Lonchura striata: one gene and its partner. Each later gene encodes a partner of the first gene's protein in a complex. Links are inferred from orthologs where the notes say so. Each region holds a gene or a part of one and is shown on either strand. Other genes may lie near its edges. The genes, in order: HCRTR2 and HCRT.

Region 1 (3,904 bases):
CCACAAACAATTCATCCATGAACAGAACCAACAATATGGAGCAAACAGCTTGAGGAGGATCACAGAATCATTTAGGTTGGAAAATACCTTTAAGCTAATTGAGTCCAGCTGTAAAGTTGAATGATCTATTGTACGATTTACTGTGATTTAGAGTGGATAGAAAGGTGTTCAGCTACTTCTCTTCCATTTTAAGACAGAGATTTGCTACCATGTACTACAACTTGGAGAGATTTCAGAGGACAAAAGGTGGACATTCCATCCAGTAAAAGATGGAATCCAGGTGGATGCGGAACCAGATGCCAGTTTCCACCCCAAGCAAAGAGTTAATGTACACAAATGCAAGGAAAGAACAGCTGCACATCCACAGTGGAATAATCCCTATTTGTGGGTGCACAGAGAGGAAAGTTTTTCTCCTCGTGGCTTCGGAGGAGAAAACTGTAAACAGGGCGAAAGCTCCTATAGCTGAAGATTTGACCTTGAATTCTTACAGGTGAGAGGACAGCTTGTCTACAGTATCGGTGGAGTATAATAGGCAAGCACAGGTGATTCACCTAAAATAGTCTTTGCTCAAAATCATGAAAAAGGACAGGTTTTATCCTAGTTTAAAATAAAGCTTCTTTGCTAGGGCTGTTATATATACACTGTCGATCAAGCTGGCTGCCGAGCAATGGACTGAGCAGACGTGCTCATAGGCACTTAGGGCAACGCTACAGAATTACTAAAAAAAAAAAAAAAAAAAAACCAAAAAAAAACCACCATGATCAATCCGCTGAAATTAAGAAAAAAAAAAAAAAACATTTAAAATATTGCCTTTGGCTGCAGTCTCGTTTGTATCTCAATTCGGGAAGCCTGTAGAGTTTGCAGTGACAGCCCTGCCATGCACAATTCCTTCTGAAAAACATGAATGAAAGACCCGTATGGCGGGGCGGGGCCCAGCGCGTTCCGTTCACGGCGGTGTCACAGATGGACACAGGGAATGCCAATGGCCGTGACCGCAGCCCAGGGGGTGCTGCTGGCGGAGCGGGCTCCCCGCGGCCCCACCGCGCCCGTCCATAACGCGGGACTGCTGCGGAGCAGCGCCGGCTCCGCTCCCCGGCCAGCCGCAGCCCGGCAGGGGCACGGCCGCCTTGGGCGGGGCACACGCGTGGCCGCCCTGCCCGGTGCCTGTTCCCCCGCCGTGGGCGGCAGCGGGCTCGGGGGAGCGGTGGGGAGGAGCGAAGAGGAGCGGCGGGGGGGCAGCGGGCGGGCTGCTGACGGCCAGACCCCTCTGGCCCGCTGCCCCAGCCCACCCGTGCCCTCCTCCCTTCACTATCCTCAGCTCTCCATCTCACTCCAGCGCCCCTACCGCTCCCTTCGAGGCGGCCGCCGCGCAGCTCCGCGCCCCCGCCGCCTCCTTCAAGGATGAATGGAAGCGGGAGGAGGCGGGCTCCAGGAGAGGCGCCGCCCCGCCTCGCTCCCTCAATGAGCGCCCGGGAGGGAACGCCTCGCCCCCGCCCCGCGTCCCCGCTCCGCTCCGGCCGCGGGGACGGAGCGCGGCCGCTGCGCCGCCGGAGAAGGCGCCGCGCGCTCCGCGCCCGCCGGCAGCTGAGGGGACCCCGCGGCTCCCCTCACGGGCCGGGCGCCGCGCAGGTTCCCCTCACGGGCCGGCGCCGCGCCGGTCCCCGTGCCCTGTCTCTGTCCTGGAGAATCACCCCGCGCTCGATGCCCCCGGCGCCCGGCCGGGGCTGCGCGGGAAGGGAGCAGCATCCTCCGGAGCGGGCTGAGAGGCGGAGCCGCCGCCGCGCCAGGAGGGTTCAGCACCGTGGCCCGGCGGACAGGGGCGGGAGCCGGCCGGCAGCCGCGGCCGGGCGCTCCGCCGCCCCGCTCCCCGTGCCCGGCCCTGGACGCCAGCGGCCGCCGCCGCAGCCCCTCGCCCGCCTAGCGGGAGCGGTTTTTATGGCCCTTTCCGCGCAGCCCGAACTTTCCCCTTCGGCTGGGGACTGCTGCCTTTCCAGCGGGGCGTGTCAAACCCACCCGGGTTTCCAGCCATCCTCCGTGTAAAACCCATCTCGGGAAGGGAGAACGGGAAGTTTTGGGGAGCTCGACTCACCCAAGATGTTCCCAACGAGAGCCACAATGAATACGACGATGTAGCCGGCGATCAGCGCCCATTCATATTCCTTGGGATGCAAATACTCCTTCCAGAGATATCGCAGGAACTCCTCATCATCGTAGTCGGAGGAAGGGGTTAAAAGAGCCTCCCGCGTTTCATTCAGTTCCGACCCACTCGTCCAATTCCTATACGGAGGGGAACCATCCTCTGTTTGAATCCCGGACATCCCTAGTGGGTGTTCAGGAGCCTGGGGAAAAAAACAACAACCAACAAACCCAAACCCAGACCCTCTCAGAGCATCCGAGCTTTCTCCCGCCCGTCCATCGAGGCTTGTGGTTGCCAGTGCGAAAAGCGGGGTGTGGGGAGAAAAATGACGCGGGAACTTACGGGAACCAATGCGGGAACAGGCTGGGGATCCGCGTCGGTCCCCAACCCGCCCTGACGAGCCTTTCCCCCGGCCGGGCAAGGGGTGCAGCCTCCGCGGGGGAGGCTTCACCCCCTGCACTGTCGTGGAAAAGGCTGGTCAGGGTAGGTTGCATGCCTCAGGTGCCGGAGTGCTCCCGCCCCGGCTGGAAAAGTCACGTCCGTTTCAGACGATGTCGGTTTTTCTTCCCCAAACCATGCACACGCACCCTCACACACCCCCGCATCTCTGCATGCCTCTCGCCTCGTCCTCCCCCTGCTTCAGCTCATCCTCAGCTCCTCATCTCTCCCCAGCCCTACTTCCAGCTTGCCCATCCCTCTCCTGACTGCTTCTCGGTTTCTCACTCTCTCTTGCAAAAGGCACTTCCCTTTAGACCTTTCTACATTAGATTCCAGATATAGTCAAGATATTTGTAAATTAAAGGCTTTGGAAGGCTGCAGAGGGAGGAAGCACAGGGTTAAAGGAGCCATTAAAAATAGTGGCTAATGAGGATGCCTATTTCTGTGCTGCTTTGAAAGTTACACTGAAACAGGAACACTGTGGGTTTCCCAACACTGGGAAAATCTCTAAGAGAGCTGAGCAGATAAACGAGAGGTTTCATTGGATTTGAAGATTGTGAGACCTCATTGTAGCTTGAGTTTAGCATGCACTGAGGATGTTTCAACATCCAGCTTGGGACCTTGATACGGCAACTACCCCTCAGCTATTCTGAAATGGGCTCAGCTGGCAGAAAGCAGTTCAAGAGAACCCAGAAGTGCTAGTTAAACAGCATGATAGGGCTACTGACTTCTTGTCATTCCTTCTTGAAATATTTTCATACTTTGCCAAGTATACAGTCTCTGAAGGAGCAGGGATGGGTCTGAACTTGTCCCTCCTTGACTGATAAAATTCCCTCTTATTCAGGCAACCTGTTCATTTCGTATCCAAATAATTTAATGAGTCTGATAAAAGCGCCATTTCTACTGGGACATGGCACAACTAGCTCAGTTAAGCATTTCAGTGCAGGGTCTGCACCTCCACAGAAACAGAGGAAGTGTTTTGGTGCCACTCTGTTTCCAACACAAGCATAATAGAGAGGCAGACATTCATTCATTAACACTGTGCATAGAGTGCTGTGCTCTAGACAGCACTTTAGGCTACCCAATTGTTTTTTATCAGTGTGCAGCCTTCTCAAAGTTCAGTGCAGCATACCTACACCTGGAATACCTCTTCCTATTTCTATAGACATACTTTCTTTGCTTTAGTTCCTTGTTAACCAAAGAAAAAATTTCTTTCCTATTCCACAGGGAACTTGAGTGAACCTTTTAGTCTAAAGATGTTACAGAGTGAAAGATACTCAGATATACAGGAAGGATCAGCATCTGTCTTACATAAACTAGAAGGATAGA
Region 2 (3,237 bases), on another chromosome or scaffold:
CGAGCCCTGTCCCGTTCGCCATCTCCTGAGGGGCACCGGCTTCCCCCACCCGCTTTCCCCCCACGCCGCCGGCACGGCCCCTCCCCGGTCCCGTCCCAGCCCTACGTGTGCCGTCGAAGCGGGTGGCGATGGTGTCCAGGAAGGTGTTCTGCGGCGCCAGCAGCCCCTTCATCACCGGCATCGTCCCGCCCCACCGGCCGGCCGCCGCGGGGCTGCGGCGGCGGGGCTGCCTCCGCCGCCCCCGGCCCCTCCGCAGCACCGCGGGCTGATCCCGGCCCGCCCGGGGCTCCCGCCCCGCCCCCGCCCCGCCCCGGCACCGGGAGGGGCCTCGGCACCGTCGAGCACCGTCCCCCGCCCGCGGGTAGCGCGATCCGGCCGGGGGGGCTCCGGGCTGGTGGCGCCAGGACCCGCTCGGCGCTGGAGCCGCGGCACCGGGAGGCACCGGGAGGCACCGGGACCCGCTGGGCCACGGGAGCCGCTCGCCCCCGGCCCTCCCGGGCCCACGGGAGCTGCAGAAGGAGCGGGACGCGCCGCACCTCGGTTGGCCTCCGTGCTGGTGCTGCACCGGGCGGCTGGAACCGCGCACGCCGCAGCGAGCCCGGTGCCAGCCCCGCGGAGGAAGGCGGTTCCCCCGGCAGCTGCCCCGCACCGACCCCTCCCCAGAGACGCAACAGAGCCGGCTGACATCAGGCTACCATTTATTGTAAAAGGCCGCGGTGCCCGCGGTGCCCTGAGCAGGCTGGGCCAGGGCCAGGGCTGGGAGGAGGTATCTAAAAGTGCTATTTACACTGAGCTCCGGCTGTGTCCATCCTGCCAGGGATCCCCTCTCTGTCCTGCTGCCCCCATCCCGTTCAGTAAAAGCTCCTTGCAGCTCCCTGGGCCTGGCTCGTGCTCAGGTCCTTCCCTGAGTGTCCCTGGCACTCCCTGGGGCCGTCAGGGCCGCTGGCAGCACCTCGCGGTGCCGCTGTCGGCTGGGCGACCGTGCCCGCAGGGCAGCCCAGCGTGTCGGGGCAGGCGGTGCCAGGCTGCTGCCCCCGCTTGCCCATTGTGAGGATGCCCGCGGCGTGGTTGCCGGAGCCGTGGAGCAGGCGGTAGAGCCGGCTCTGGAAGGCCAGGGGGACGCTCTTCCTCTTGCCCAGTGTGAGGATGCCCGCGGCGTGGTTGCCCATGCCGTGCAGGAGGTCGTAGACACGGCAGGGGCAGGTCTTCTGCCGGCAGCAGTGGGGCAGGCTCTGCCGGGCGGCGGCCAGGGAGCAGAACAGGAGCAGGAGCAGGAGGCAGGCAGCTCGCCGGGGCTGCCGGAGCAACGGGCAGCGTCAGCGACAGGGCACAGAGGGGGCACTGCCCAGCCCCGGGACTGGCCCCTCTGCTGTGCTCACTGGTGTTTCAGCTCCCCCCTGCCCTGGTTGTTGCCGCAGGGGCCCAGCCCCACACCCGAGGTGCCCCTGGAGCCTCACCCTTTGCTGCCCTGGGGCACGGCCAGCACCCTCACCTGTGTCCCAGCCAGCAGCCAGATGTGGGTGTCCTCACCGCACCCTGCCCTGCTCCAGCACGCAGCAGCTGTGGCAGACACCCTCCTCTCGCTGTCCAGTGCCACGGGGCAGGCAGTGAAAGCACCTATGCTGCAGGCACTGCATGCCCAGCTCCCTCCCAGGCAGTTCCCTCATCAGCTGCTGGCTACAGTCAGAGAGTCCCGGGGATTTGCTGCACACTCAGAGCTTCCCAAGAAACCAGCCAGGCCCTCCCAACATTCTGCCCTCCCACCCATGGCTGTTCTCTTATCCCTAGGGGCTGCAGCACCCCAGCCCCACCTTGGTGTTGGGCACTTCCATCCTTCCTGGGGTCTTCAGGTGGCCGAGTGGCTCTGGGGCATGTCCCATCGGGCAGCTGACAGCACAGCACCCTGCACTGCCACTGCCACTTTATAGGGCCCAGCACAATAGTGCTGCCAAAAATACCGCTGGGGCAGCGGGAGCAACTGGTGTCTGGGAGACGTGGGAGCGGTAGCCCGGAGACCGTCCAGGCCTTTCCCCTCATTTGCAGCTCCCCATTGTGAGGGTACTCACTGGACAGGGTGCCTGGCACTAATGAGGCCATAATTGCCCACGGCCCCGCTGCTGGGCTGGCACAAAGGGGATGAAGGTCAGCGCTGGCCTGCTGCTCAAAGCCCCATTAGACTAATTAACCCCCGAACAAAGGGGTGCCAGCAGCTGTGCAGCTCCCTGACTGACGTGGGGAGCCGTCACCCTGCCAGGGAGGGACAGTGCCACCAGGATCCTGTACCCCGTGCTGCCCTCCATCCCCTTTGGCGACACCGTCCCATCCTGGTCCTGTGCCCAGAACAGAGGGAGCCACAGGGCACCAGGGAGGGTCTTGCACTCTTTGTAACACTCCAGAGCCCCAGACTGACCCCAGACCACCTCCAGCCTTTGCTTGTGCTGAGCTCCCTTGCCCTGGGGATGAACCCAAACATTTCCCTGATGCCAGAAAGTCACATCTGCTGTTCAGGGACACCCTGGCCCTACATCTGCTGTACCAGAGAGCCTCCCAGCCCCTCTGCATAGTGGTGACCCCAGGGATGCTATGGAGGAGCAGCTAAGATGCTTCCTTCCTGTCAAGTTTTTCCCAGGGCTGGTGAAGGCCAAACCTGCAGCCCTGGAGAGGGTGGGCAGGAGCCCAAACCTGGGGCTGCTTTTCCAAGTGGCATCTGCCACAGCAGGCTGGGGGTACGTGCACATGGGCACTGGGCTACCAGCATCCCCACTGGCCCCTCGGCAGAGTTCTGTCTCCAGCAGCAGAGGGAGGGGATGGATGAGTCCTCTGGGAGCTTGGAGAGGCAAGAGGGCGCAGGGACATCACTCCCCTACCTCTCCACTGAATTCTGGTGCAAGCCCCTCAACACAGCAGAGCACAGACACCCAACCTCATACACGTTCCCCAGGCAGGCTGGGGGCTCCCTGCTCCTGGCCCCTGTGGCCAGGGGTGCTCAGTCGGGGCCCCGAGCCCCAGACCGGGGTCAGCAGGACGCTGCGTCGCCTCCTCCGTCTGTCTCAGGGATTGGCTCCAGCGGGGCTTGCAGCCGAGAGGGCTCTGGCGAGGCTGATCCGTTCCTGCCAATGCCACAGGACTGTCCCGCGTTGTGGATCTGCCACAGGTTGTCCAGCGCCTCCGCCTTGGCATGCTTGAGGAGGTCAGCCTGGCCCTGAGAGGAGGGGATGTCGGGGGGGTGTTAGGGTG

Evidence for each region.
Region 2: the proteins of HCRTR2 (region 1) and HCRT are in contact, whole or in part, in a cryo-EM structure (PDB 7L1U), measured with the Homo sapiens proteins. The link is inferred for Lonchura striata from reciprocal best matches to the Homo sapiens genes HCRTR2 and HCRT. Residues at the interface, in NP_001371201.1 of Homo sapiens: Thr111, Val114, Trp120, Pro131, Gln134, Thr135, Val138, Gln187, Val209, Cys210, Asp211, Phe227, Thr231, Ile320, Ser321, Asn324, Lys327, Arg328, Phe333, Ala334, Thr336, Arg339, Val342, Tyr343, Phe346, His350, Tyr354; in NP_001515.1 of Homo sapiens: Asn89, His90, Ala91, Ala92, Gly93, Ile94, Leu95, Thr96, Met97.

What each region holds. Positions count from the first base shown.
Region 1 is NC_134605.1:90,002,602-90,006,505, forward strand, and holds the start of HCRTR2 (orexin receptor type 2), read right to left. Parts: upstream 2,434-3,904; 5' UTR 2,319-2,433; coding exon 2,090-2,318; intron 1-2,089. UniProt on the Homo sapiens protein: Nonselective, high-affinity receptor for both orexin-A and orexin-B neuropeptides. Triggers an increase in cytoplasmic Ca(2+) levels in response to orexin-A binding.
Region 2 is NC_134627.1:6,399,841-6,403,077, reverse strand, and holds HCRT (hypocretin neuropeptide precursor), read right to left. Parts: upstream 1,906-3,237; 5' UTR 1,881-1,905; coding exon 1,812-1,880; intron 1,296-1,811; coding exon 852-1,295; 3' UTR 682-851; downstream 1-681. Other genes in the region: voltage-gated delayed rectifier potassium channel KCNH4, read right to left, coding at 106-181; inactive phospholipase C-like protein 2, read right to left, coding at 3,017-3,202. UniProt on the Homo sapiens protein: Neuropeptides that play a significant role in the regulation of food intake and sleep-wakefulness, possibly by coordinating the complex behavioral and physiologic responses of these complementary homeostatic functions.